Linked DNA regions of Astyanax mexicanus. The protein of the gene in region 4 interacts with the protein of the main gene of each other region in a pairwise test. Links are inferred from orthologs where the notes say so. Each region holds a gene or a part of one and is shown on either strand. Other genes may lie near its edges. The genes, in order: syf2, mrpl15, c5h22orf23 and ccndbp1.

Region 1 (7,641 bases), on a different chromosome or scaffold from region 4:
TTGCCCAATCAGAAGTCCCCTGTCGCAAAACGCTACATTTACATCTTATTTTAACTCAAATGTACAACACAAGTCAAATGTCTGAGGTATGTTTATGTTTACGCCTGCAGTGGGTGTACCAAGTAGGGGTGGGCGATATGGCCCTAAAATAATATCACGATATTTCATGGTATTTTTGCAATACTGATACTCTTGGCAATACTGTTTTCCAAATATCTCTACATATCCAGAATTAATGTAAAATAAATGATACTGGACATAAATAATCTGTATCTAGTAGATATATAAAAGGAAATGAGAACAGTGTATTGCTTTTGCTAAAACAGTAAAATAAAATGTGAAATGATGTGATAATTAGGGTTGGGTGATATGGCACAATATTTCAGGATATAACATTGTTCACCATATTCAAAAATGTCAGCGATATTATGGCGTACAATACAATATGGTACATACCTAGTACCAAGCACAGAATACTTGGTACACCATTAAATAAATACAACTATTTTTCAAGCATACTTGCCATAAGGAAACCTTTAACTGTAAAAAGGTTTGGAACGATTTTGGCAAACAGTCTTCATAAACCTACCTTCTTCTTCTGGTCCACCATGAGCTCATACTCGAGTCTGGCCTTCTTTGACTCCCAGTTTGAGGGAAGCTTCAGCCTCTTGTCTTCCTCCACTACCTCCTGGTGATTCAGCTTACGAGCCTCATTCTATTTCAGGAAGACACATAAACACACATAATAACAATTAAAAACATGTCAAAAAATATATATATTCTCACTTTGTAAAACACAACATTTGTTTAATGTCTCTATCTGCTAATATGCAATCTAAATGGATGAAACCCAAGACCCAGACTGCACTTTCATGCTGTGAATCTCCATGTTCCCCCACATTCAAAAGGTGTCTAGAATGTACAGTTAATAGAAGATAAAGCAGGAGTATGCGACCCATTTCCTGCTAAAAAGACACACTGGTCCATGTTGGCATGATTTTGTCTCACAATTACTGCTGATTGTTCCAAAGCAATTTTACGCTCCGAATCACTGGATCTACCACATCTATTAGATGCAGTTTTGGTGAGTAAAAAGATCAATAAAAAAACTCTGAACTTATTGTCATGTTCATAAAACCAACTGAAATGACATTTACTTTGGTGTGCGGCGCATTATCATAGTTGAAGCAGACTTTACAAGGTGGTTAAATTGTGGTTGTGAGAAGATGCACATGATTAACTGAGGATTTATTGGTACAAACAGGCGCAAAAGAGGTCAAACACATGCCCCACACCACTGCACCACCTCCACCAGCCTGGGCTGCTGGATTCATGCTGTTGAGCCAAATGCTGACCCGATCCCTATTCTGCTCCAAGCTTAGTTTAGCCATATAATTACCAACACTTTTTATTGTTGATGATTATGATAACAACTAATGAAAAAAAAAAAAAAACTTAAATTAATGTCTCAGAAAACTAGAATTTTATACAAGACCAATTGGTACTTTTGACAGTGTGGGCAGTGTGCCAAGTCCTGCTGGAAAATGAAATCTGCATCTCCATAAACATTGTCAGCAGAAAGAAGCATGAAGTGCTGTAAGATTTTGTGGAAAAACAAAACGACACTGACTTTGGACTTGATAATAAAACACAGTGGATCAACACCAGCATATGACAAGATTGTGTTTCATACCCAGGTTTGGCAAGCTGCAACTGCTCAGGTCAGTGGGCCCCTAATCAGAATTTTGCTTTAGGGCCCCAGGCACCCTGGGAATTATGGACTAGCTCTAGTGTGCTCACTAGTGTGTATGCTTGTGTTCACTGGATAGGTGGGTTTAAAGCGGAGGCCAAATCCCATCTGTGCCCAGCACACACAGTAAATATAAGTCTTGTATTGACTATAATGGCGATGAAATGCTTACCCTTTTAAAATGAAGCTCTCTGAACTTTCTCAGCCTTTCCTCTCTCTTCTGGGATGCCGCAGTCTCAACTGGCTCACCATCAATGACTGGCGTGGACACCTTTAAGAAAGAATTAATGAGACTGATGAATTAGAGTCTGTGGCAGACGCACAATACATATGAGCTGGTGCTTATATATAAAAAAAAAAAAAAAAAACTGTTATATCACTGCATATCAATACTCTTATAACACAGCTCCGATGCTCTGTTTCACATAAAAGGTTTCTACAACATCACTGCAAAAACATTATAAAGTTCATTTCAATGGCTAAACACAGCAGGCAAAATGGATTTATATAAATCAAATTCAAAACTTTTTAAAAGATACGTGTGCATGCAATAGCTATATTGGTTACAGTTATAGTTATTTTTTAAAGGGTACTAAACCCCCTATTTTTTGCTGAATCCACCCTCAGCTCAAATTTGAAAAAGGGGTAGTTTGGATGGGGCACTGGGTGATGTATGTGTTTAGAGGCAGGGCAGGAGAGAGAGCTGATTGGCTGAGCTGGAGCAGCAGCAATTCACTTTCCGTTTTCATACAAAAGATAATCCTTGGATTGGTGTTTTGATGTAATATTTAATCTTCTTTATGGGCATTAATGTACAGAAAATCAAGCTTTATTACTATCTGGCAATTACATAATTATCTCATTCATACGCATTAATAAGTTGTGACCAAGCATTAGGATCTCGTTTCCACGCCTTAATAAGTCGTGACCATACACCGTGTTTTTTTTTTGTTTAAACATTTCACTTAAAGAGCTCTGTAGAAACACAATAAATGTAACGTTAATGTTAAAAATGACTAAAACCGCTCTGTCCAATGTTGCTTTAGTTAACTAGCTAGCTAGAAACTTACTACTAACTAACTACTACTAAGTTAACTAAGTTACTTAACGTTACTATTTTCCTAAACTAGGTTTTCCAAGGCTAAAGGCCCGGTGGGAACGTTAAAGTAAAGAAATATTAGTTAAATGAACAGTGGGAAGTTTAAAACAACACGTTAAGTAACCTTAAATAAAACGTTCGGATATAAGTTCGTTTTAATTTAAACATTGTATAACAGTTACGAGTCTGAGTTTAACTCATATCTTACGTTCACTAGCTAAGCTAAGCTAAGCTAGCTGTTAGCGGTCTGTCCGTTATCCAGGAAAACACGCTTTTAACCTTTAAAACGACTTCTCTCACCGTTAATCAGCTCTACACCAGGTTAAGAACACACAGATGAAGTAAAATAGCTATAAAACACTATAAATCACCGCGTTCTAATGATTTTATTAGGATGTTTTTACCTCTGTGCCAGACGCCATGATCACAACACTCGTAAGCAGAGAGCTCGGTCCGCCGCACAGAGCGCCGTGGAGAAACCTGCCCGAGGAAACTACAGTTCCTACCAGCAGCAGCAGCAGGTAACGTGGCTCTCCAAACCATCACTGATTGTGATGATTAACATAGTATTCATATACATTTAATCTACAAGCGTATAAATGTAATAAATACATAAATAGTAATTAAGGTAGTACTTCAATATTTTTATTTTCACAAATTCAGCATGTAACAAAATAGTTTAAATAGTACAAAAAAGTACATTTAATTATACAAATCCCTTCCATTATTTATGAATATTACATAATGTAGTGCATAAAGTAGTAGTTTTATATTCTTACATATAGAATTATTTATTCATAATTTGTAATCAAACTTACACTCATCTGAGTACAAGGCTGATGTTTCTAATAAAGTGGCAGTGTTTACATTCACTGGCCACTTTATTAGAAACCTCTACCTCTACCTTAATCAAACTTGTGTATATTTATATGTATTTTTGTATATATATATATATATATATATATATATATATATATATATATATATATATATTTTTTTTTTTATTATTCATTTAATAATACATTACATACAAAGTAAAATCCACAGTGTTAAAATCACAGTGTAAATATGTTCTAAATCTCTGGGAGTTTTTCTAAAAGCCCTCAGTGATAAACTGTGTGTGTGTGTGTGTGTGTGTGTGTGTGTTATACGTGTAAGTAGTTAAATGGGATTTAGTTGTGGTGGTTCTACATACAGCTTAGATAGGTTAAAGAAGTAATTTATTCTGTGGTATAGCTCACATTTTATAATGCTTCATAGATACTAGAGGTGTATAATTTTGGGTGAAGTTTAGAAAAAATACATAATTAAATTTAACGAACTTAAACAAAAATAATAACAATTTGAGAGTTGTTTTATTCTGTGGGGTAAAATGTGTTAACACTGATAATAATTAAATATGTTAAAAATATGACTCGGCGTTGAATGTATGACATGACGGTTTTGAATTAACTAAAAAAATTGACTCTTGTGGTGGTTATTTTAACACTATAATGAGTGGGACCATATGTTATCTAGGACAGTGTTAAATTCAACTCTTAAATAGTCGATTTTGCTGTGTACATGTCTGGTTATACCTACACAATAAGCTAGATTTTAAAAAGTTCATAATTAATGTTTCTAAAATAACACTACAATCACTTCCAGAAGATCTGATCCCACACCCACGTGATGAAGCATGATGAACGCTGGATTTGACAGTATATTAACTTCAGTTAATGGCTAAGCGGAAAGGATGAACCCAGTCATGAACTTCAAAAGTGAGGCCCTCGTCTTCGCTCCGGTGCTTTGCTAGCGCTAGCATGCAGTCCTGTTCTAACACGGCCGCTTTTCCTGCAGGATTATTGTTGTTATAATTAAGAGCGCTGTTTTGGAGGATGTAATTAAGTAGAGTTTACAGCATTAGATTAAAGCAATCTCCAGATCAGAGGCACTGCTAATGGACTGATGCACTCTGACTGTACGCCAGATGGAAGCGTCACTGCTGTAGCACGACAACACAAAGCTGAACACAGCGGATCCAGACCCCCATCAGCTCAGGCTTTTGCATCACTGTACACAAGGAAAGAGTGAGGTAGATACAGTACATTTAATCCACCCACTTGACTTGACTTGATTTTGTACGTGATACCAGAGGGGTCAACTCTATTGCCAAAAGCATTCGCTAGTTTATTTTTTAAGAGCGTACAATTTTAAGTACAGTATTTATAGAGTGCAAGCTAAACAATCAGTATAACTTACAAGACCAGGCAGGTATGAGATAAGCACGGATTTAATTAATAAAGACTATCCACAACTGTAGTAAAACAGAAAGCAAACACGAAAGGCAGATAACATACTAAGAATGGCGAGACATTCGGGGCCGATAAAGAGTAGGCAGTATTCAAAAATCATAGTGGATAACACACACCAAAAAAATGGATCAAACATGGAATAAACAATACACGGGCAAGACAAATGATTTGTATAGTCAGACAGAACCAGATCTAGTACTTGGCAGGGAGTAAGTGAAGTGCAGGGGTCCATATAGAGAGGTGAACAGGTGAAATCGATACTCAGGTGATTGAGTATAAGGGAGTTAAGGGGCGATGTCCAAAGCTGAGAGATCACTGGTAGACAAAGGTATAGGAGGAAAAGGTGTGCCTTTGGTGCCAGTGTGTGACAGCTCTCTATTTCACTTTTTTTTGTCATTTTTTTTCTACATTATGAAGTTCCATTTACTTGCTAGTGGCTGAAGCCAAAGATTCTCCGAAGATTTTCTAATAAAGTGCCCAGTGATTGGAAACACATGCCACGTGTTTCTAATAAAGTGGCCAGTGAGGAAACACAAGGTAGGACTTTCTCGTAAACCTAAACTCAATATTATTCATAATTTGAAGTGCTGTCATTGCTGTGTTCAGGGAAGGCAGATGGAGATTTGCTATGGGAGTAAATGTGGTATGTTTACATACTTTTGTATTGTGTATTTTTTGTTACATAATAAAAGTGGAGTAAAGTTAACACTACTGGGAAGAACATGTGCGAACAGATACTGTATGTTGAAGGCCTCAGATCTATTGGTAATGGAAGTGGGGTTAATCTGGGTGGAGGTAATCGAGCCAATCTCAGTAGCAGTTCATTTTGTTAAATGGGCGTGAACGAAAGCATGAAAGGGTGCTACACGGAGGCTGTACGAGTGGTGAACAGCAGTGTGCGTCTGCTGGTGGATTTCCCTGCTGCTGGGGCGTGCGTTGGCACCGGCTGGCTCCTGGCGCTGCAGCTAGCGGAGTCCGGGGGTCGTGTTTGATTTGGCCAGGCATTAATAAGGCCTCGCTCATTGGCTGCGGAAATTACAGAAATAGTAATTAAGGAAATGGAATGATTTTATTGGCGGCGATGTTTGTGCGCTAGCAGATGTTGGGCAGCTGTACGAGCTACTTCCTGAGTGCACTATAATGCTGGGTGGCAGGAAAATCACAATGGAAATATGTCTAAAAGGATTAGCATAAATGCTAACCAGCACATTACTTTGCTTTTTTTTTTTTACAGTACTGGCATCCTTTATGGAAGGTCTAGTAGTAGTCTAGTATGGATATTATGCAAACACTGTACATGCAGTATGGGGGCAATTTATGTTTTGTGTGTGTGTGTGTGTGTGTGTGTGTGGCCTCAGTCTTTCTGGATGAAAGAGAACCGTAATTCAATTACCCCAAAGAGTGTTGTATGGAAAACAGAGATACAGTTTTAGACATAGACTATACATCAAAGTACATGGCAGATGTTTCTAATAAAGTGGCCAGTGACTGGAAGTATAACACCTACCTAGTGTTTACACTCACTGGCCACTTTATTAGAAACACCTACCTCCATATGCTTCCACTCATTGGCCAGTTTTTTTAGAAACCTCTACCTTGTTTTTTTTTTTCTCACTGGCCACTTTATTAGAAATATCTACTTTATTTTGTACACTTTTAATAAATATCCTGAACTTGTTTTTCCAAAAACTGTCCGCTTTTTTGAAACCTTGTAACTTTATTTAAAAAAACACCTTCCTTGTTTTTTCTACGCACTGGCCAGTTTATTAGAAATACACATATAATATTAATACACATAGATACTGGCCATTAGAAACACCTACCCTGGTTTGTCTACTCACTGGCCACTTTACTGGAAACACCATCCTTGTGCATTCTCTCTGGCCACTTTATTAGAAACACCTATGTCCTTATGTTTCCACTCATTGTCCAGTTTTTAGAAACCTCTACCATGTTATTTTCACTTACTGGCCACTTTATTAGAAACACCTTCAGTTACTAGCCACTTTATTAGAAATATCTACTTTATTTTATACACTCAATGGCCACTTTATTAGAAACACCTACCATGTGATTCCTCCTTGACCACTTTTATCTGAAAAAAAACGGTCCTCTTTTTAAATCCCCTTCCCTGTAATTCCACTCACTGGCCACTTTATTAGAAACACCTACCTTGGTTTGTCTACTCACTAGCCACTTTACTGGAAACACCATCCTTGTGCTTTCTCTCTGGCCACTTTATTAGAAACAACTACAGTATCATATATGCAGTTCCTCTCACTGACCACTCCTTTAAAATGTCTTTCTTATACTTCCACGCTGTCCACTTTGTTGTAGACGCCGAGTCTGTGCTTCCTCACTGGCCACTTTACTGGAAACACCATCCTTGTGCTTTCTCTCTGGCCACTTTATTAGAAACAACTACACTACCATATATGCAGTTCCTCGTAGTGAACCACTCCTTTAAAAAAGTCTTTCTTATACTTCCATGCTTCCAC
Region 2 (7,730 bases), on a different chromosome or scaffold from region 4:
CTACAATATAGTATTTTAGGTGCTATAAACTATGTGATTACTAATAAAGATTAAAGCCAAATCAAAATGCCTACCTGTTTCAGAGCCTAAAAACAATATTTCCAGAATGAGTGATTTTTGTTTTATAACAGACTGAACCCAGAAGTACCTGAATAGTAGTAGCTGAGAAATATAATAAAACCTGGTCATAAACCACACCAAAATCAAGAAAACCCAAATCAATGTATATTTTGAACCACATACACTCTATGGACAAAAGTTTTGATACACCTGCTTACTATTTGCTTGTTTTAATATCAGTGTTATTATTAGCTCATCTCAAATATACTGGATGGAGAACCATTATACCAGAGATTTCATACACAAGTAGATTTATAATAAATGATTCTAGAGAGGCTTATTCTCTTGCCAATATTTCTTTACAGTGTGTAGACAAGTTGTGTTGTCTAAACAAATGATACTAACAAATGAACAAACCATCATCTGGTGAAATGATGATTTCCTGAAAGTAAAATATACTGTGAATGTGAACATACCTCATCTACAAGCTGAACACCGTAGTCTCGTTTGAGAGGCTGGATTGTGATCCCTCTACTATTAACCAGCTGGGTGAGGTCTATAGGCTGAGACGGGTCTATCCGGCCTAAATCTATCAAATACTGCAACCTCCGCAGAGACAGTGGAGGGTACTGTTGCCGCAGGCTAAAGAAAAAACACACCGAGAAAAATATAATAATGGTTAAGATAGTGTAAATTTCTTTTATTAAGGAAAAACAGGTAAAACCGCAAATGTTTTTATTTTACCTGTGTCCCTCATTGTAGCCATATTTAGGAATGATCAGGTAAAATGGGGTCTGTCCCCCTTCAAAGCCCAGACGTGGACGGTTCCCACGCTGTCGTTCACCTTTGTGTCCTCGTCCACTCTTATTCCCACCATGCATACCACGACCCCGGCGCTTCTCCTGTTAACACACATGGTAGATATATGAGCCACGGCCACAGACATGGTGAATCTATCATCTGCAATGCTTCAGTATGTAAGAAAACAGACAGAACAGGATGGCACAAATTTGATATGGGTTGGTTTCAATAGGATTATTCTATTCTGTCAATTATGCTATGCCAGGATAATAGTTGCTTACTAAATATAGTAATGGAAACAATATATTTAAGGCATTTTTTTTTTATTTACTTGAAAGAAACAAAAACTATAAAATCACAAATGCAAATATTAAACATTACATGTATGTTTAAACAATGTTGCCTACCAGCGTTTAAGCTTTTATAAATGGATATTTAAATGTAAATAAAAGAATCAGTGTTAGATTGGACAAATTTAATTATATTCATGTTAGTACGTATTGTATTAATATTGTAATAATTTGAGTTACTGAGTTTAACTGAGAGCTTTAATGGAGAAAATATCAGCCAGTGTAGCATCATAGTGTGTGTCTATGTTTTTGTGTGTGTGTATGTGTGTGTTAGGAATCTGAATCAGAATCTTTTCCACTCGATTCCAATCCTTTGAAAATTACGAGATCGGCCAAGATTTCCAATCACATAATCGGATCGGGACATCCCTAAAATAAACACAATCATGACCACGATTATAACATATTATTAAGGTCATGTCCATGTATTGTATGATAAGTTAATAATGTAATTATTGTGACAGGCGTAGTGTTTATTTGAGTTCTTGATATAGTCTCTCTGATTAATCAAACATTCACTGCTTGATATTTCCACTAGTGGTTTTGGTTTTAATGTAGAAGTAAATAAAAAAAATGCAATAGATTTATTTTAATGCATTAAGTTTACACTATTATATTTATTAAGAAATTATTATCCTAGTCCAATATAAGATTTTCACAAACACATTTTTGTGATAAAATGGTATGTTTTGATCGTTTCAATAATAATAAAAAATAAATATATATATAAAAATAAGCTAAAAAAAAAAAAAAAAAGAAACCAAAACAACTTGCATGGGTTCTTTTTTTTCTTCACTGCCAAAGTATCGGTAGATACTTAAACTCACTCAGAGGGAAAAATTGTGATTGAAATATTCCTAATATTGAGTTGTCGTACAATAAATGGACATGACCTCAATAACGTGATATTGTCTAATGTGTTTATTTGTATGTTTGTTCACTATACATCTCTGGAAAAAAATTAAGAGACGATTTCAGTTTCTGAATTAGTTTCTCTGATTTTGCTCAAACAAAATAAAAAATATTGTCATTCAGAGCATTTATTTGCAGAAAATGAGAAATGGAGTTTCTACAGTTTTCATGCATCTTGGCATGTTCTCCTCCACCAGTCTTACACACTGCTTTTGGATAACTTTATGCCACTACTGGTGCAAAAATTCAAGCAGTTCAGCTTGGTTTGATGGCTTGTGATCATCCATCTTCCTCTTGGTTATAATATTCCAGAGTGTTTCAATTTGGTAAAATCCAGAGCTGCATAACAGCAAGAAAGTATATATTCCCCAAACTATGATAAATTAAAATTAAGTTGACTTTAAAGGGGTATAATCGCTTTGTTATGCTATTCTATTCTCAGTATTGCAGTGGTATTTAATATTCTTAAAATGACAATAATATGGTTTATACCAATAATTTCTGGGAAGGCATATCGTCTACAAAAAAAATCTTATCATGACAGGCCTAAAAATCACAAATGCGTTTCAGGTGAAATGTACAGTGAAAAACTAGTTTTCCCAACTGGATTACCAGTACAGAGCTCTTTTACTGCATGACCAGCTTCTCAGCCACCTTGACCATTAAAGACCAGGTTTGGCCTCTAATCATCTAAAGGTTGCCAGATTTCAGCAGGGATGAAGAGAATATCAGTATGGAAAGAATACTGTAACACTGTAGATATATCTAAACCTGGACCTACAGCTAATAAACAGAATATCTGTACAACACTGAGCTGGACTGGCTGAGATGCTAACTTAGAAGCTAATATAATGTCAGCTAGCCTAGTTAGCTTAGCTTAGCTTAGCTAGCTAACATTACAGAGAGCTCCAGCACAACACCAGCACTTACATTCTTCCTCGCTCCAGGATTGGGTCTAAGATTGGCTAGTGTTATCCGCGGTAAACTCTTCACTATATCCAGAGTTTTTCCTCCTCCAGTCCTGGATACAGACATTTTTCTGACCCACTCACACACTCTCACACAGTCTCACACACACATCTATGCACCCGTCAACTTTCAAGGGCGAGTGTCATGGCGGAGAAGCACGTGGTTCAGCCCGAGAGGAGAAATCCCACTTCTGGGTCTGTTTGTTTGGTAGATGGACCACTAGAGGGCGCGCTCAAATGAGTCCAAAACGAATGGGATTAAAATGATTAACTGAACAAATCAGAGATTTAAAAATGTTGAATACATTGTATAATGTAAATTGGACTCGTTTCCTGAAATTAAAACATTATAACATGTTTCAGTACCAAATACAGAATTTGGAAAGCTTTTCAACTCTGGTTAGGAGAAGACAGCAACACTGGTAACTAACTTTTTTATTTATGAAGATCTGTTGGGCAAACTCCCATCATATTGGTGTAGTCGCCTCTCAACTACAAGGTTATGGAAGTAAAACAGTCTAACTAGCGTTTTAAATGTAATCGAATTTGAATTTATTACACTCTGAGACTTCCATACAAGGTGCAGAACCTCTTTCTCCTGTTTTGCACCATGGTCTTGGAATAACCTTCAAAACAAATTGGCTTCCTTGAGTGGGTTTAAACTTTGGTAAAGAATTATGTGATGGAAACATGCAATTTCTACTCATAAGTGCATTCTGTTTTGTACTGTTTTTCTTTGTGGTTATATTAAAGTTTTTTTTATTTATTTAAACACGTTGTTTTAACTTTCTTTACCTGTAAATGGTGTGCTGTCTTGCCCAGGTCTCCCTCAAAAAAAAGAGATTTTAATCTGATGGGACCTCTTGGTTAAATAAAGGTTAAATAAATAATTAAATAAACTCTAGCTCCAGCAATCCTCGCTGCAAAACCCTTTTATTGTATAAAAAGGGCAAACACGTGTAGGTGTCTTTGGATATTTTAGCTAAATACTTTATTAAACTTTAATAAAAGGAATACATTTCCTACACAAACAGGTAGTTAGTTTTTTTAATTCGTATTTTTAGCCGTTTAGCACCATTGACCCACATTCATTCAGGACTCAGTCGATTGCTCCCTCTAGCGTTTTTCACTCATATCATCTCCATAAACCAGTTCTCCTTTAGCGCCAATAAAAAAACATTTAAGCAGAAAAGCTGTAAAACTATAAAAAGTACAAATATATGTATATGCATATATTTATTACGCCACCGTGTAATTAAAATATAAATAACGTTACATGGAGTCGGTCAAAAGAATCAGTGATTGTTGCCAGCTGTCTATGAATACGAATTGCTGAGTGCTGTTTGAAAAATTACAAATGGGTGAATATTTTTTACCCGGTAATTTCTGGCAAAATACATGATTTATGCGTTTTTTGCAAAAGATTTATGAGCCATTATAAAAAAGAAATTATCCTCATGGAGATGCCGGGGATTGAACCCGGGGCCTCATACATGCAAAGCATGCGCTCTACCACTGAGCTACATCCCCATATAGACTTAGAGCGCGGATTCTCGCCTCTTTAACATGAGACACCCGTTTATTTTGCTTTCTTCAATTCTGTTTAGAATTTAAACACAAACTTTATATAATCCTGGTCAACACAACATTTTAAATGCATTTTTTTATTTAAATGAAATTGGTCCATGAATCTTAACACGGCTTCTAATGAGTGTATTTTACAGGGCTCTTAATGCTGACACTTTTTCATTCGTGTTAGCTAGGTTAGTTTAACTAATGTAAACTAACGTTACAATATATCAAGTCTGATAATCATCACAAGAGAGTGGTAATAGAAACTGCATGTAATTACAGGATTTATACTCTGTTGAGATATTCATTAGCATAACAATAAAAGCTGAAAAAGAAATAAGATCAAATGTTACAACTACAAATACAACATTTTGTTTTCACTTTTTGCAAAATACTAAGCAATTATTGTCTACAAAATCAAGATGCTATTGTAAATGCATTCAAGTGCCTTTTACTTATGTATATTTATTGTTTTTCACTGTACAAAAATTAACACACATTTTTTATGTTTAGGACAATTCATTAAAATGCTTTGGTTTTGAAAAGATATATATATATTTTGTTTTGTTTTATTTGTATCTTTATTTAACGAAGTACATTGTACAAAAGGGATTGTATCGGTCATTTTGATCATAAGTGGAACACAGTTCAAGAGTATAAATTGCTCTTTAAATAAGTTATATAGTTAGATTGCAAGATTAAGATTAAAAACAAAGAATATAGGAGTTATTTATTTGTAATGTCTATATAATTTTGCTATTCACATTTTAATACATAAAAAAATCTGAATAAAAATAACTATTTTCTGAAACTATTTTCTTAACAATAAATATATTCCTTTAAGAGATTATCAATGGTTTCATCACATTGCTGACAAAATAAGGAGTCTGAGTTAGTTCTAGAGATAAAACTCATTGATTTATGCTTTTTTTCTACAGTTCTGTTCCAATTATTACAATAATAAAAAAATCTTATTTAAATGTTTTATGATCCAGCTGTGTTGATCTGATGTCTAGATTTAAAATATATTTAATTGTAAAATATGAATTATGAAATTTTTATATTGTCATTTGTGTTACATCAGGATTTTAGCTTTAAAGTATTTACAGCCATGTGCCCACGATAAGAAAAAAAAAACATGAATGATATTGTGGCGTGGAAGAGGAAGGAAGACCCGTGAGACTCATGCTGAATGCTCAACAGCTCCTTTATTGAACAGGCTTACCACTCACTTACAGTTTTTAACAAGACTAGGAGAGCTAAGACCATTCCCCCACAGAGCTCAAACAGCCCAAAGGCCACCAACCCAGCTGTGTGTCTCCCAGATGGCAGATCCAGAGTGGTGCCCACCCTCTCTGCATAACCCCTCCCAAGGGAGATGCCCCACCCCTGTCATCCTCGCACACAGGAGAACAGAAACATGCCTACAGGCAGCCACACACACACAACCCAGAGCCGCCACAATATCCTCACTGAACAGAAATCAGCCAGAAATGTGTATGGGTTCAGAGTTAACAGAGACTTCCACTGTTTAATTTGAAAAAAAAAAAAAAAAAAAAAATCTAATGTTCTAAACCTCTTTCCAGTGTCAGTGTTGTCAGTTTGCTATTCCACAAGCTTAAACAAGCTGCAACATATTCTTTAAATTTATCTATGGAGGACAGATGTTACTTTATTGTTTATAAAACTCGCTAATAAAAAGCCACTGATCAATAAATTAAGTGGAAGAGTCTAAAGAAGCTGGAGAATAAGATGTTCCCTGTGGGTTTCACTGAAATAATGTTAGCAGGTTAATTGTTTGACACCATCCTCCAATGCTGCACTACTGTAGCTAAATTCCTCAACACCGCAGGCAAACACGTGCAGCTCATGAGCCAATCAGGACGAACGCATGGAAAATAACTGCAAATGCACCAATCAGGACACGGTTCGATAAAACTGAGGGGCAGGGGGCGGGACTTCCTGTGTAAATGTTCGTGTGGTGGGTGGTTCGGGTGCTGCAGTAGAGCTGATCCAGGGTCAGTTATCTGTAGCGCTGGTTAACTGTGAGCTGAGATACGGGCTGATCTGAGACCCGCGGGCTGTGTAGGAGCAGGACACGAGCGGAGGGTCACGGTGCGGCTCTCTAGCGTGTTTTCAGCTCCGCGGACACGGAGAGACGGTCAGTCCGGACACGCAGCGCTAGATAACCGCCGGACTCGTTTATATTTACACTGATTTAATTATATAATAGAAACACAGTTCGCGGGTGTTTCTACAGCTCGGTCTCGTGCTGTCAGGCTGGAGGCTGGGGTCGGCGGCCCGCGGGCTGAGTCGGGGTGTGATTTCTCGTGTTGAATGTAACGCTCCGGTCCGGTGTATGTGCGGTAATAACATGTCAGCGCCGCTGCCCGCGATAGTCCCAGCAGCCCGGAAAGCCACTGCGGCGGTAAGTCAGCGTAAAGGAACCCGGCTGTGTATTTATAACACCTGTCCTCAGGGCCCTAAACACACTAGAGCTACTGTGACTCTAGTACACTTGTGTCAGGTGCTCATTCATTCTTCTTCATGTTTATTCGGTATGTGAGGAGCTGTAGTAGACTGACACTCTAAAAACACCTGGGTCTAAAAATATTTGGGTCTCAAAACATGTAAAACATCTGGATCATAAAAAAAGATTTGGGTCTAAAAACATCTAGCGTTAGGTCTAAAAACATTTTGGTTCTAAAAACATCTGGATCTAAAAATGTATGTGTCTAAGAATAATTGGGTCCAAAAACATCTGTGTTTAAAAACATGTTGGTTTAAAAATATTTGGGACTAAAACATCTGGGTCTCAAAAGATGTAAAACATCAGGATCTTAAAAAGATTTGTGTCTAAAAATAAGTGGGTCTAAAAACATTTGGGTCTAAAAATATTTTTGTCTTAAAATAATTGGGTCTAAAAATATTTGGGTCTAAAAACATTTGTGTTTAAAAAAAATCTGGGTCTAAAAATATTTGTGTTTAAAAATATTTGGGTCTAAAACCATCTAGTGTTAAGTCTAAAAACATTTGGCATATCTGTGTATATAAACGTGGATCTAAA
Region 3 (7,638 bases), about 24 Mb from region 4:
CAGTGGCTGAGGTAATAGACAGATTGACACTTTATTTTCAGATCCACAGACTGAAATTGGTCTTGCATAAAAATAGCAGCTCCGTTAGGACACAGTGCATTACCAGCACAACACAGACCAAAAAAAACATAAATATTTAATTTGCATTATAACACCCTTGATCATTTTGGATTAGGCTCCATGTTCAGTTTAAGGATTGACTGATGTATAAAGGCCTGCTTCAGTCTTACATAATTAAAACATGGAACACAGCATTTTGAAGTGTCCAGACTTTACAGATGTGGACAAGCAGCTGTACCACACAGCATTACAGTACTGCAGAACACTCAGAATAACAGCAGTAAAAAACAGTAGGAGTAACTGCTCCATCTGCTGGAGTTGCTCCAAAAGATTAGAAAATCCGGGCTGTCCAAGTAAGTTAATTATGTTAGCAAAACAGTGTCACCTTAGTATTTTAGAACATATTTTAAAGTTAAGCAGTAATCGCCTGTGTATAGAGTGAAAAGTAAAGCAGAACTCACACAGTCCTGAGGTGCACCGACATTAATTGATATGGCAAAAGAAAGTGTTTGTTCACATTATGCTCATGCTCAGGTTGTTAACTAGAGTAATACAGGTCTGAATCATGCTTGATCATGTCTTTTTGTGTGCCACAGGAGAAGAAAGCACTTCAGAGGAAAGCATCAGAGCTCGAGGATGAGCTGAAGGTAATCTGTGTTTAGAAATCTAATTATCTTCACACCCAGCTGTTCTTTATAGCTGTGCTTAAAGTGATGGTCTGATCAGATCTATTAGCTGACATATGGTTTCTGTTTTTTATCAATAGCCGCACAACACATATCACAAGGCAGGTGTCGAAATTCAGTGTATTATTATGTGAAATACACAGACATGCCAAAAGAAATGGGACAGGAGCTAGTATTGTGTCATAGGGAAGCTAAAGATTAAAAAATTAGAACTTCCCATCCATCAAGCACTTACTATTAGCCCTCACTCCAACTGCAATAATTCATTTTACTTTGTCTTGAGCACACTGGACAGTGTTCAGCCTTAGTCACAAGATAACACCTTAAAACAGATGTGAGCATTCTCAAGCCACTGAGAATGCCCTTGAGTTAACACTTTATAATCAATTTAAGCACAGATTACACAATACTATTCTACAGTCCCGCCCTTTAAAGCTTAATCCATAGCAGGCCATAGCACATGTCTCACTCCTCCTCCTTCTCCTCACTCTTTCTCTCCTTCTCCACAGATTCTTGTCGATCTGCGCGCTGACAACCAGAGGCTGAAAGACGAGAATGCTGCGCTCATTCGCGTCATCAGCAAGCTGTCAAGATGAGCCCCTGTATCCCTGTGTGCCACCATTGCCCTGAAACCACTAGGTGGCACCACTGTCCCTCTCTGCCCATCTCTGCCCAGAATAAACTGGAACAATGCATTTCTCTTTTCTGCACAGCCATAACACACAGCACCTGTGCGTGTATGTGTGTGTATGCGTGCGTGCGTGCGTGTGCGTGTGTGGGTATGTGTGTGTATGCGTGCGTGCGTGCTTGTGTGGATCTGGTCAGGAGTCTGACCTTTATAAACTGCTGTTGCACATTTTATCGGTGAAGCCCAAACAACAAAAGCTAGATTCAGCATAACCAGGGTTCAACGAGCTTCACCTCATTGTGCACAATTGTTAGGACATTTGAAACTCCTTAGGGTGTAGTTTTCTCAAGTCTAGGACCTGCAAAGCTGCAGTTCTAGTAGAACAGTTCTAGATCTTTCCGTGCTTTGTGCGAATTCTAGCTGCATGTAGTTTAGCGAACTTTAACTCTTGACCCAGCTCTGCTGTACTTCTCAAACCTCAAGCTAGCACAGGATCATAGACGTCAAGTCTAGTTGGGCTAATTTTAAGGAGTGAAGTACATACTTGAAGTACGGCGGTATGTAGAGGAACTTGCAGGGTGCTTTTTTTTGTTTTGTTTAGTTTTTTGTTCTGTATATTTAAATCAGATTAATTCTTTTTCGTGCACTGTGCTTGGTTTATTATTATTATTATTATTTTTAACTTTAACCTTGTAGTTTAACACAAAACTAAGCCAGTACAAGGTTAACAATTTCCTCTTTTTTTTACTTTGCTTGTAAGCCAGCTGTGGGTTATTTGCTGTTTAATAGCTAGTTTTTGCTCTGACAGTGCAGAGAAAGCACATCATCCCATCAGGTGTTTTTAAGCTTTGAGGGCTTGACCTAAAGAAGTGCTTGTATTGTTAGATACCACAGAAGAAGAAAAAAAACGTGCCAAAACCTGAACCTCCATCCACTCCTGTGCATCCAGCTTGCTGGTTGGCGGCACGCCGGGACGAACGAGGGATGTTTTTTCCTCTGTGTCTGTCTCTCTCTCTCTCTCTTTTTCTTTTCCTTTCTCTCAGGACAAGCCTAGATCAACACTGTACTCGAGCAGACTGCTACTGTATGTTGGACCAAACAGGCATTTGCATTATTGCTGTTTTTCCTGTTTTTCAGTGAGCGAGTATTTATGAGTGTAAGTGTATTACATGGCCTGTGCCAATGGTGGTGTTTAATTTTTTTTTTTAAGAAGATGAACAGGAACGTTTATACTGTGAGTCCTGCTCTCAAAGGAACAGGCACTTTATAAGGTCAAAGCTTTTGAAAGTTTACCACCTTTTTTTTTCCGCTTCCGATATTATTGATTGTTTTTCATTTGTAAGCCAATGCATGCCAAAATTGTATTTTGACAAAAATATGTGCCTTTCTACATATCTATTTTAATATTTCTATGTTGCTTGGTTGAAAAGTACTGGGCTGGCTGGCCCAATAGCGCTATAACAAGACTCTTCTAACACTCCACCATCCTACAACCCCCTCCCCCAACTGGCTCTGCCATCGTTCTGTGAATGGACATTTTTGAGACAACCAATAAAATCTCAGTAAATAAAACAGTTCAGTACCAGAGCTTTGCCCAGACTCCTCTTTTAATTCATCTCATTCTTTCTTTATCTGGTCATGGTTGTGGTGAACTCATACAGAGCCAAATCAGGAACAAAAGTTGTGGTAATTTGAAAACAATAATGAATACAGAACGTTCAGGTCTTAAAGCTTGAATGTTGATACGATAGCTACAATAATATATTTAAAATAAAAAGACGTGTAGGATGTTTTTAGCTTTCATATAATTTTGATTAAACTTGTTTAAAATATTTTTTTGTTTTTACTTTCTATTTTGTTTTAATGGTTGAGGTCTTATTTTTTCTGGTTATTTACTTTTTTACAGTTTCTTGTTTTTTTTTCCACTTTCAGACTTTTGTCCTTGAATATTGATAACAATATACAAAATGCACAAAATTCCAACATTTAGAAAGAAAATGTTTTTTTCATGAGAAAACCTTTATCCTTGCTGCAAAACATTATATTTACAGAGTAACAGTCATGAAGAATATTCTTAAGTTCTTTATTTTTTTCGCTGTATAACAATATATATAGTTTCTTTGATTTTACCAAGTTGAAAACCTCTGGAATATAATCAAGAGGAAGATGGATGATCACAATTCATCAAACCAAGCTGAACTGCTCGAATTTTTGCACCAGAAGTGGCATAAAGTTATCCAAAAGCAGTGTGTAAGACTGGTGGAGGAGAACATGCTGAGATGCAGGAAAACTGTGCTTAAAAAACAGGCTTATTCTATTCTATTTTTCAGGGTTTTTTTTTTACTATTTCCATTTTTATTTTTTTTCATATTCTGTTTATATTTTTTACTTTCAGTCTTTTGGGCTCGATTAATGACAACACAGCTAAATACAATCTAGCAGTGATTTGCTAATACAGTTAAAAAAATTACATAAAATAAAAAAAAAACTAAAATAAGAAAACTTTTATTCCTGCTGCAAAACATTATGTTCACAAAGTAACAATCATGAAGAACATTGTTAAATTCTTATTTTTTCCCTGAAGAAATATATATATATATTAAAGTTAAAATATATATATATATTACTGGGGAGAAAAAAGTAGCGCACTCTGCTGGTGAGGAGTGAGATTACAGCGCGCTGTTTTCTGGTAACCCATGGCAACATCGACCCTTCGCAGACTGAGCCGAACTGGATGTTGTGCTAAAACAGCGCGTGAATCAGCAGCTGTAAACTACCAGCTACCTAAACAACCAGCTAACATTTTTTTATAACATTTAAATACTGTAATTAGATTATATATAGACAGAGAGAGTCCGGGGTTTAATTGAATCAGTTTTTAAAGGTTTGAGGTTTTGAGCTGCGGGCCTCACTCACTCTGAGGATGGACGGAGGGTCTGCGGCGGAGTCCAGCAGCAGCGGGGGTCTGTGGAACTGTCCCAGAGTGAAATACAGCAACGACACCAGAGAACTCCTACAGTGTGAGTAAATACAGCCAGATACAGCGCTGGAAAAAATTAAGACACATGAACATTGTTGTTTTATTCTATAAACTACGGACAACATTTCTCCCAAATTCCAAATGATAATAATAATTATAATAATAGTTTTGTCATTTAGAGCATTCATTTGCAACAAAAAATGAGAAATGGCTAAAATAACAAAAAAAAAAAAATGCAGAACTTTCAGTTTTTAAATAAAGCAAAGAAAACAAGTTTACATTCCTAAAGTTTTATGAGTTCCGAAATCAATATTAATATTATTCAACAGGGTAGAATAACCCTGGTTTTTAATTACAGGTTTCCTGCATCTTGGCATGTTCTCCTCCACCAGTCTTACACACTGGTTTTGGATAACTTTATGCCACTCCTGGTGGAAAAAATTAAGCAGTTCAGCTTGGATTGATGGCTTTGATTATATTTCAATTTGGTAAAATTAAAGAAACAATATTTAAGCGGTCTCATTCCATTGTTTTTTCATTCATTATAAAATGTCTAGTTGTGGTCTCCAGTGTGAATGAATGCATTTATTACTTATAATTTTTGTTTTCTGATCCACAGTAATGATGCGAGAATCAAGACTCACCAGTTTCCAGCAGCGTCAGCTCAACAACCAGCTCAAGAGTAAGATTATTCAAGTGAATAATGTTCGGAAATTTCACTCATATTTAAAAAAATATGAGTGCTATTCGGAAGAAGGATATAGGTTACAAGGAACAATGAATGCTAAAATATTTTGACTGATATGTGCAATATTCCATGTGTGCCGTTTTTTGTGAAAAAAAAAAGTGCTCAGGTGTTTCTATTTAGCCCTGTTTTATTTAACTGAATTAGTGGTCTCTGAAGAAAGACAGGTTTTGGCTCTTGCACAAGAATATTCATTCATGCAAATATATCAACTCTGATTGGCTAACAGCGCTGCAGCTGCCTACCTGCCTTCCCCCCACAGTCAATTTTACAGCTCTAAAACTCAAACAACAAAATGTTTCAGAGATACAGCTTTAGTTATAAAGGTATTGCACTTAGTGCTAGGTAAAGTTAACCCTTAAGTTTCACTTAACGTCAGACTCGAGTGGCTACACAACCGAGAAAAGTTATCAACTCCCTGAGCCGAGCCCGCCCCTGCGACTCTTCTTCCACGGCCGCATGGATACCTCCCTTCTTGATAACGTTTCTTTCAGCTAAACTAATGCTACTACACTCTTGCCTTACAGCCAATCTCAGAAAACTAGAATATATGAACAATTGGTACTTTTGGCAGTGTTGACAGTGTGCCAAGTCCTGCTGCAAATGGATATTCGCATCTTGATAAAAGTTGTCAGTAGGGTTGCCAACCGTCCCGTGAAATACGGAATCGTCCCGTATTTTGGCAGTAAAATACGCATTCTATATTCTGATTGGCTCAACGAGAGTACATCATAATATACAGCCGATGGATTGGCAAGCGTAAGAAGTACCATGTGTGGCGTGTGAGCGTGTGAACTCGCTGAGGTGCGTGTGACACACGCTCAAAGCGTGAGACTTGAGAACACTGTCTGTAATGCTGAATTTTGTTTGTTGTGTGTGTGTGTGTGTGTGTGTGTACCAGAAGGGGGAGCCTTACCGCTGCGCTGTAACCCCACCTCCTCTGCCCCACCACTGCAGGCTCAGCCTCAGCCCAGTCTCAGTAAGGGTCGCGCTCTGTCAGTCAGGCCGCAGAGACGCAGTGCTGAGCAGTGCAGTGCTGGAGACAACTACACCCGAGAGAGATTCCAACCCAGTGCAGCACGTCTGTATCCCACATTCCTGACTGTTACAGCTTTCATAACTAGACTCTCTTTACACAGAATCGAGTATCGAGTAATCGATAATTAGTAACAGTACCACATTACACAAAGTGCTGGGGACAGAAGCGCAATGGGAGATTGATAAATAGCTTGCTCGCACAGTTTACACTCAACTTAGTCTGTGTCTCCAAATGTGCCCAAACTCAACAGATTACCTATTTAATCATTTCCATATTTTAACAACATCTAGACATTTAAATGCATTTTAAATCTCTTTCATATATACATTGTTACATTTACACATTAAAGATTTATTCTTGGTGTGTTATTTTCTGCATCTGCCAATCTGTGGTGATTTGTACCACATCAGTTTACTTGCTAAATTTAGTCCCTGTACCAGGTTTCTGCTCAAAGACCTTTAAACTTTAACAGTACATTTGTTAACGATAACACCTGATAAGCAGTGATATAACACTACTCCCAATCTTCTGGCTAATAGGAGATCTTGAGAAGGAGAAGCGCAGACTGCAGAATATCTTCGCAACAGGTCAGGAGGAGCCACAGCTCTCTGTCCCACAAACACAGCCTCCCAAGAGAGCAGAGGAGACTCACACAGACAGGTTCCAGGAGGGTGAGATGAATTCTAAAATCCTTAAACGTACCATTTAATTATAATAGATTTTTTTTTTCGAGAATTATTGTTGTTGAATATTATTGTAATCAATTACAATAATTCAGTCAATAATTCATGAGAGTAACCAAAATTATTGCTGACGGCAAAGCCCGCTGATATGTTGCTATATAGTACGTTCAACCTGCAGTTTGCAATTTATTAGCTTACACTTTATGCAGACAAAACATTCTATCCATTTTCTCTCAGTTCTGGATGAGATTGAAGAGAGGAGGCAGTTCCTGGAGGAAATGACTGCTCTTGGAAGGGGGCGCGACTACAATCACATCATTAACTTTGAGATTTCTCAGGTAAAAACACAGCAGAGACACCATACATCAGTGCTTATTTTAGTAAAAAGTTTAAATTGAAACATTACATACAAACTTGCTAAATGCAAAACGTACATCGTTCAGTACTGTGATCTATATTTCCACATAAAATATGGAAACACTCTGTATAAGAGAAGGTCTTTTAGACAGGATATTGGGGGTGAACGTTCTTCCTGACCTGTGCGTATGTTAAAAATAGTAAAAAAACAGCAGCACTTGTTGACTGGAGAATTTGTTGTGGTCATACCAGCAAAACCATCTTTTCAACACAACCTCTCTATAAGCATCGAATCTATCTCTCTCACCGACAAAGGTTGCTAGGAACCTGGGTGTTATGGTTGATGACCAGCTCTCCTTCACGCACCATGTGGCCTCAGTTGCTCGGTCCTGCCGCTTCGCGCTTTATAACATCAGGAAAATTAGACCGTTTCTGACGCAACAGGCCACCCAACTACTGG
Region 4 (8,063 bases):
CTACTGGAAGCTCATCATTACCATTTCTGTTAATAACTTTATTTATTCAACTTAAATAACATGAAATGACTAAACTGACTTTCTATATTATTTTATTAGACATGTTAAAAAAGTTATTTTCATCCCTCTATGTGTGTGTTGTGAGTGCTTATTAATGCTTTAAAGTATTTACAACTTAATTTATAACCATTAATAAACTTCTTTATAAACTATTTATAAACCCTTTATAAAGGAGTCTTATTTTAAAGTGGTACCCAAAAAGAAGTAATCCCACAATAGATAATTCATGTTTTTAAAAAAAAACGTACCCTGGGCTGATTTCTCTCGTGATATCAGCGAGGTCGTCTAGTTGAGTAACGCTGTGAGGTGTGTCGACTTTTCCATTTTTATTAACAGCGCTGGATAATTTCCGCAGACATGCTCCAGAAGCCTTAATGAGACCCAGACATTTAGAAATGAGCTGCCGGTCACTCTGGGACCAGTAGGTGTCTTGGTTTCCACGGGCATCAAGGTCATCTTCATCATCATCCAGGACATCATTGAAAGGGTCCTGTTCCTCAGATAGTGCCTACAGGAAGAACACAAAGGATGGGAATAGTTTTTAGACGTATAGTTATTAGATTTAGAGTCTACAGGACTCTGCACTTTGCACGAATGCTCTACCAGAAATTGGCTACCCACCTGGTTCATCTCCTCTAGCGCATCCTTCACCATTCCAACATATGAACTCAATACATGTAACACTGCAGTGCGATTATCTGTTGGGAAAACGGACAAGGAAATTCTACATACAGATTTCTAAGTTAAGAATTTAATGAAATTAAAGGTCATACACACAATTGTTCAGAAAGCAAACACCTGAAGGTAAAAAAACAGTGTTTAAATTTATTTTCAAGGCATTAATAAAAGCCATTAACGTAGCCCAACTTACCCCTTGGCAGCTGAGCAAACTGATCACATGCTGCCCAGACACCTCCTGTAGATGTTAGCTGTTCCTGAGATAAACTAGAACAAACAAATAAGCAAATAAGTAAATATATCAAGTTATTTTATTATGTAAATTAAATACGGTGAAAATTCTAAGTAGGATTCATTAAGATCATTATCTAAATGTAATGTAATGTAATACAACAACAATTATTATCAGAGATGAACAATAAGATGTATTGCCTTGAAATTAGACCATTTTAAATACCTCTGTAAAGGAGAAGACAGGAGGATCTCCAGCAGCTGAACAACACCATCCAAAACTTCCACAGTGGCTTCTCTGACAAGCTTACGCAGAGTAATGCCTGTATAAAACCAAATTCCATATATACATATTTGGACCATGATGCAATTTCTGCAGTTTTGTGTCTAAGTGTAACCTCAATGGATTTAAGGGTTTAAAGCTTTGATTCAAAGGGTTTAACAAAAATATTGCATTTGCTGTTTAGGAAAGGTCTTGAGTTGATTATTGAGTTAAGTGTTGAATTTCTATTTTGTAGTTAGAATTCAAAGCCTAGAGAAAACCCACTGCTAGAGGTCACAGGTAATACTGAATTATTCACTTACTCAATTATTCCTCTAAGGTACCGGTATGTGTCTTGAATACAAATCACACAGTTAAAATGCCACGATTTCTTGGTTAACAGGCAATAATAAAACATAACTTAAATATCTGATTTTATCATGTTTGCCTTGAAATCTATGTAGAATGTTGTGTTTAGTTAGACAGGAAAATTAGTGATTAGAATGAGCAACTTACCTTCACTCTTAGGCAGCCAGTAATAAATTGTAGATAACGCCAGAATGCTCTTCTGAATGGACTCTGCTAACACTTCACAATCCTTGAATGAGACCAGAGAGTCATTGTTATTCAAAATATATAATAGAGGGTTTTTACTGTATTTTAATATCACAGGGCAGTTTTGATGCTTTTTAAATAATAATATTTTAATGTAACTGAGTTTGACTGGGATGTTTGACTGGGATGTTCTAAGTTATGCTAACCTAAGTTTTTATTGCCCATTACTTAACTTTTTTAAGGCAACCGGTTTCCTCAATTTTTTTGAAGTAAATTCAACTTATCCGTGCTTACAGTGTATATTTTATGTATGTATTGATCTGAATCTATTTTGTTTTTTGCATTTGTGAATAGATTCAGAATCATCCACATCTAAATCAAGATGCATATAAGAATCTAAAAATTTGCCACCCCTATAGCACATGGTGGCAATAGCCTGACGTACTTGCTCTGATGGAAGTGGGGGTTTGGAGAAGGCTAGACTGAGTTTTGTAGCTTCTTGTGAAGTAGCCTTTACTGTCTGAGCTGTGGAGTAGAGAAAAACACATATTTCAGTTGGATTATTCCTTAGACAAGCCACAAACCAAAATATATTTTTAGTAAATGTGAACATGAGGACACTCAACTCATCGTTTCCCAGAAGTTTGGTAAGTTAAAGTCCCCGTTAGACTCATTTGATTCTCCATCTGAAAACAAAACAACAAAAGAACTATTAGCTAACATCTAATAGCACTACATCAGTGATACACAGTACTAACAACACATTAATCAGTGAATTGATAGCAAGTGCATTTGTTTCAATCCCAAATACTAAGATTTCACATTTTAACAAAATCTGTTGCTTGCTATACTGTTTAGTCAAGGATTTTGTCTAGTTAGGACTCTAAGAACAGTAAAGACACATGGAAAGGCAGTATTGAATAGACTGGATGAATAGACAAGAATGATAATATTTGGAATTCAGAAATGTGAGGAACAAGTTAAGTTACTTAAAACAGTGGTGAATGATATGAAGTAATGTAGAGGCAATTGTTTCTATAAATTACTTAAGTTTGTCAATTACTAAGAGTATTGCTACTGAATGGTTTGTGTAACGTTACTTATTCCACTATCGCTGTCACATACTGTGACTTTCCCAGTGCTTCTAAGTCCTTATCATGTCAAAACATGCTGTGATACCAGCCCAACTCAGTAAACATAGCCAGTTAGCTACGTAGCTAGATACAGAGTGTTATTCCCAGATGGCTAGTGCTAACTTAGCTAGCTAGCTAGCTAACTAACAGTCTTAAGATAACACGTTTAAATATCCAGTATAGCTAGGTTAGTTATAGTTAACTTTAATGGTTTGGCCGTTATACAGTCTCTTCTACCAACACGATTAATTTACACTAACTTGACAACTTTAGCGTTAGCTAATTTAGCTAAACTGGCTAACCAAGCTGCGTTAGGGTAAGTTATTTCTGACAGCTGAAGGGATAGTTAGCTAGCGTTAGCTACGCTAAGCTAGCTGTTTCCCAGGGCTGTTTACATTACTTTTAGCACACCAGTAATCAGATATATTAACGGAAACTCCGCCGCTCTTACCTCTTACCCGATCTCTAATACATTTTACTGCGTTTAATAAGTTCCGTAGCGGCAGTAAAGAATCTCCACACGAGTTTTCAGCGCTCATAACTGCAGCTGAATCCATGCAGGTAAACTACAGGCGGAACTAAAACACTGGCTACTTCCGGTTAGTTTCCGTCGGAATGTGTTCATGAGGGGCTCCTGTATGTATTTGAATACTGCCTACTCCTGTATGTATTTAAAATTATATATTAAAAATTATTGCAGAATAACTTAACATATATAAAAATGTAGGCCATAAGTTATGTGAATCACCTGCAATAATATATGTGAATAATATATAATATATATAATTTATTTATAAATTTGAAAATGTATGAATCCTATTTTTTGTTTATCTGAAAATTATTTTGGATTTGTATTATGTACAGCACATTTCACCAACTAAAAAATCCCAAAACATAAAAAAGATTAAAATTTAGAATTAAGCCATTAAATACAAAACTTTTAAGCTCTATATAATTCTTCTCAGATTCCGTGAATGTTTACAGCCCATAATATTACATAATTCATTATACATTATACATAATAAAAAAAGTTTGGACACATCTTACTTGTAGTGGTATTTCATTATTTAAAAATTCTGCATTGTATATTAATACTAAAGAAAAACAAAACAAAATATGTTTTATGTTTTAGATTCTTTAAAGTAGACACTTGCTTGGAATGAGAAAAGTGCTCAAACTTTTCACTGGTACTGTACAATTAATGTACGTTTTAAAGAACGTGACAGTTTTTAAATAAATTATCCATTTTGTTAGGTGAACACAAATCAAGATCCTGAACAGACATGTCTCCCTCATCACAGAAAGCTTCAAAATCATTGAACATGAGTAAATTTATATAAAACTTCTTCTTTTGCAGCCATGCTTTCTCAATGTCTTGAAAAAAAATTCTAAATGTCCCTGGAAAATATCTGGTTTAGATGCATTCATTTTCTGCATTAAAGCCACTGGCACCTGTAATGTTCCAGTAGTATTGTACTGCACCATTTACTCATAAATAGAGATATATAATACATTAAATCAATTTAATCAATGTAGGAGAAGTAAGCCAGTAAACCAGAGTCCAGGGGCTCAAACAATGGTCAAAGATGTTTCACCAGTCTTCAGTTCAAACACATTGTAACAGCGAACTTTGTCACACCCCCTGGAACAGACTGAACCTTCCGACAGCCCCCTCCCATTCACTCTGTCAACAACACCACAAAGAGACTGCGTGACAAGAAGAATAATACCAAGACTTACACTACAGAACACACAACACAGTACTGTACCAACCTTAACACAGACCTCAACATCCAGTTCCAGATAACTGAGATAAGGGATTATCAGCTCATTTTTGGATTGAAAATGACTAATAACGATTCTTTCCCCATGTTTAACAGTTCTGTAAAAGGAGACTTTACATAATGGTAGATAACACCATTATCTAATGTCCAATAAACATTGCTCACTTGCTCCACCAGAACTGTGCAGTGTGTCTTTGCTATCGTAACAACAGGAAAAGTATGCCAAAAGGCATGTGCTAATTTTCTTAATTATTCAGGTGTGTGTTTTGGGTGTAACGTGAAATAATCCATTCACCATGTCACTTCCATTCCCTTTAAGAGCCAGGTGTGCTCTGTCTTTGGTGGATAACTATTTTAATGGCGTAGGGCTTCTGAACTTCTCAGCAGATGAAGCTGATCTGCTTGTTCATTCTGTGAAGGTGCTCAGGTAATTTACGGGAACAGCAATGTTTAGTTTTTTTTAGGTAAAATTTGGGTTTGTGCACTACTGCGTGTGTTGTGTGTATGCGCAACGTCCCTGCAATGCCAAGATAGCAATGAACGTCTGACAGTTAGTTGACTGTTGTCAGGGTTCAACTCAGTCAGTGGCGCACCTGTGTTTTCCATATCTAAGAAATATACCTAAACCCACCTCAATTCTACCTGACTTGCTATTTAAATGGCACAGGGGCAAGGCGTGAAAATAGAATACACTAATTTGGTACAAAAGCAGAAGGCATACAAATCTTTGAGGAGCAAAGATGGGCAGAAGATGTTCAGTTTGTCACAAATGTGTGAGAATTATTGAAATGTTTATAAACATTGTATAAACAAGTAGCTGATATCATGGTCAAATGCAGGCAATTCTGTGTTGTATCTTCATTTTATTTTATTTTTTAAGATTTTAATCAGTAAGAAAAAGGGAAAAAAGTTTCATAATGCTACTTATGCCAGAACAAAGGCTTAAATCCACACAGACTGTTTGTGGACAAATAATGGAACACTGAGGTAAAAGATAACAGATTTTATCTGTATTATGTAGCCTTGGTTGTCTGTGCAAAGATGGCTGTTGCTCAGCCGATAGAGCAGAACTAAGTAATTGTTTAAACCAAGAAGTTTATGATGTGATTTGCAAATTGGCCATTTGTTCCTCCCACCGGATCTATTTTTTAAAACCGAGCTCTCAAAGTTCTTTTAGACAAATAACCTCTATATAGATAAACAACCCCCAGGCTCAATGGTTTGAGCTCTACGTGACAATAACAACCCTGTGAAAGAGGTTATCAGGTCTGATGCTGTCAATGTTTAAAGCCCTTGTCTCTACAAAGCTGTGAATGGACGTCAATGGGCAATATAGTTTCTGAGCATATGAATGTATTCTATATAGAATATTAGAGCCCTTCCTTCCTTCTTTCCTTTATACTACACTATATCTATTTTTTTAAAAATAGAAAACTTTTATATATTAAAAAACTAAATTTTGCTTATATAGACTTATTACTACCTCACCTGGTCTTTTTTGCACACTGCAAAATTTGCACACTGTCTTGTTATTTATTATTCTTTGTCTGTATTGTGTTGTATTGTCTGTCTGCACTTTTGTACTGTTGCACTATTGTTCTGTCTACACTGTGTTTATGTGCACCATGGTCCTTGGAGGAACGTTGTTTCGTTTCACTGTGTACTCTGTATATAGCTGAAATGACAATAAAAACCACTTTGACTTTGACTTTGACTTTGACTTGTTTATTCAAATAAAAAAATAAAATAACTTACAATAGAAATAGAAATAACTAAACAATGAACTAAATAATAATTCAATAAATAAGATAACAGACTCATTTGTACAATAATCTTTTTCTTGTTTTAAGTTTTACTTGTGTGTTTTGTTTATGCCTCATTCAAGCTAATCTGTTGGCAGGTTGCACGTTTAGCTAATCTATAATGATCTGTTGTGAACTCTGCTGGTTAAAGCACTACTATAGCGAGTAATTAATGAGGTAATAATCAATGTCCTCTTTTCTTAATGGGTAAACATGAGTATTTTGCATCAGCAAACCTTTGAAATGTGTGGTAAAGGTTATTAGGGCTAGGGTGAACTACACCATTTTAACCGAATTAATAATTCCTACAGGAAAGTCCATCAGGCTTTTAAAAATTAATAGGAATGTGCTCTTCTACAGCGTGTGCATGTGCTCTTCTACAGCGTTCCTAATCAGTGGTGGTGATAAGATGTCCCCAAGGGTTTGTAATGTTTTCAAAAACAAACTCATTCAAAGTTGCTAAATGATTGTTTTTCAGCTGTTTTGAGATGTTACATTTTAAAGTTTTAGATTTTAACCTTTTTCAATATTGCATTTAAAAACAAGATCTAAACTTCATGACAGGATTATGCAAAAATCAGGCATTTAACTGATTTCTATGACCATAAAACTCTACAATAACCAGTGCTGTTATCTCTGGATCTCTCTGTACTCTGTTTTAGTGACTTTAGTTTTTATCAATGGGTCGTTTATCAGGTGGAACAGACAGTATACTGTGCAGAACCTTTTGAATAGACAAACATTACACACGTTCTGTAGTTTTAGCTCTGTATTCCCTGCACCATACATTTTTTAAGGAACCAAAGGCCAAAATGTTAGTATTTTATGTGTAAATCACCACTAATAAACATGGGGGCTCTGCGTGATTTAGCAGACTAAGGCAGTGACAGTACGATCAGGAGATTGTACTGGTTCAAATCCTGGTCCTGGAACTTGCCATCAGCTGCCGGAGCCCCGAGAGAGCACAATTGTCATCACTGATGGAAGGACAAATCCAGAATTATATTATATATTATAGCAAATTATGGCAAATTCTGAAAGTGCAATGTCAAGACATCTATCCATGAGCTGAATCTCAAGAGAACGTGGATCATGCAGCATGACAATGGGCCACAAAAGCCACAAAAGTTGTTCAACCAAAGAATTGTTTAAGAAGAATAAAGTTAATATTGACCTCTTGCATGGTCACGTCTACTATATTGTACTGTGTTCCTACTCCTGAGGGTGTTCAGTGACTTGGACATTTTTTAATCTATCTCCTGATTGAATTTTGCAATAATCTTGCATGGAGTTTACTTTTGTCTTCATGAATTTTAATCAGGAATACTGATTAACCTGTGACTGGACCTACCAGACAGGAGACTTTATTCTACAATCACCTATCTTTTACACATTTACTGCACTGATGTACTTTTTTCACTCTGAATAAAATATTCACTAAAATAATTTCATGCTCCTGTGCTGAATTAGAATAATCAGGCAAAAACATATGCAGCATGCCCTTTTTAAGCACTTTTCACTTATTCTGGTACAGACGTATCTGTCTGGTATGTACCGT

What was found.
Region 1: the proteins of ccndbp1 (region 4) and syf2 interact in binary tests that used the Homo sapiens proteins (3 or more experiments, as listed by UniProt). The link is inferred for Astyanax mexicanus from reciprocal best matches to the Homo sapiens genes CCNDBP1 and SYF2.
Region 2: the proteins of ccndbp1 (region 4) and mrpl15 interact in binary tests that used the Homo sapiens proteins (3 or more experiments, as listed by UniProt). The two-hybrid records come from large-scale screens. The link is inferred for Astyanax mexicanus from reciprocal best matches to the Homo sapiens genes CCNDBP1 and MRPL15.
Region 3: the proteins of ccndbp1 (region 4) and c5h22orf23 interact in binary tests that used the Homo sapiens proteins (3 or more experiments, as listed by UniProt). The two-hybrid records come from large-scale screens. The link is inferred for Astyanax mexicanus from reciprocal best matches to the Homo sapiens genes CCNDBP1 and C22orf23.

What each region holds. Positions count from the first base shown.
Region 1 is NC_064414.1:4,250,243-4,257,883, reverse strand, and holds the start of syf2 (pre-mRNA-splicing factor syf2), read right to left. Parts: upstream 3,362-7,641; 5' UTR 3,272-3,361; coding exon 3,254-3,271; intron 2,022-3,253; coding exon 1,923-2,021; intron 716-1,922; coding exon 590-715; intron 1-589. UniProt on the Homo sapiens protein: Involved in pre-mRNA splicing as component of the spliceosome.
Region 2 is NC_064415.1:35,333,700-35,341,429, reverse strand, and holds the start of mrpl15 (39S ribosomal protein L15, mitochondrial), read right to left. Parts: upstream 3,254-7,730; 5' UTR 3,159-3,253; coding exon 3,054-3,158; intron 963-3,053; coding exon 805-962; intron 703-804; coding exon 537-702; intron 1-536. Other genes in the region: lypla1 (acyl-protein thioesterase 1), read left to right, coding at 7,023-7,091.
Region 3 is NC_064412.1:31,270,994-31,278,631, forward strand, and holds the start of c5h22orf23 (UPF0193 protein EVG1), read left to right. Parts: upstream 1-4,060; 5' UTR 4,061-4,142; exon of another isoform or gene 4,143-4,258; 5' UTR 4,259-4,297; coding exon 4,298-4,394; intron 4,395-4,973; coding exon 4,974-5,036; intron 5,037-6,000; coding exon 6,001-6,180; intron 6,181-6,677; coding exon 6,678-6,809; intron 6,810-7,058; coding exon 7,059-7,159; intron 7,160-7,638. Other genes in the region: ppp1r12c (protein phosphatase 1 regulatory subunit 12C), read left to right, coding at 657-707, 1,256-1,342.
Region 4 is NC_064412.1:55,153,501-55,161,563, forward strand, and holds the start of ccndbp1 (cyclin-D1-binding protein 1 homolog), read right to left. Parts: upstream 3,543-8,063; 5' UTR 3,477-3,542; coding exon 3,371-3,476; intron 2,473-3,370; coding exon 2,413-2,472; intron 2,312-2,412; coding exon 2,232-2,311; intron 1,830-2,231; coding exon 1,748-1,829; intron 1,293-1,747; coding exon 1,196-1,292; intron 1,006-1,195; coding exon 932-1,005; intron 759-931; coding exon 682-758; intron 569-681; coding exon 309-568; intron 1-308. UniProt on the Homo sapiens protein: May negatively regulate cell cycle progression. May act at least in part via inhibition of the cyclin-D1/CDK4 complex, thereby preventing phosphorylation of RB1 and blocking E2F-dependent transcription.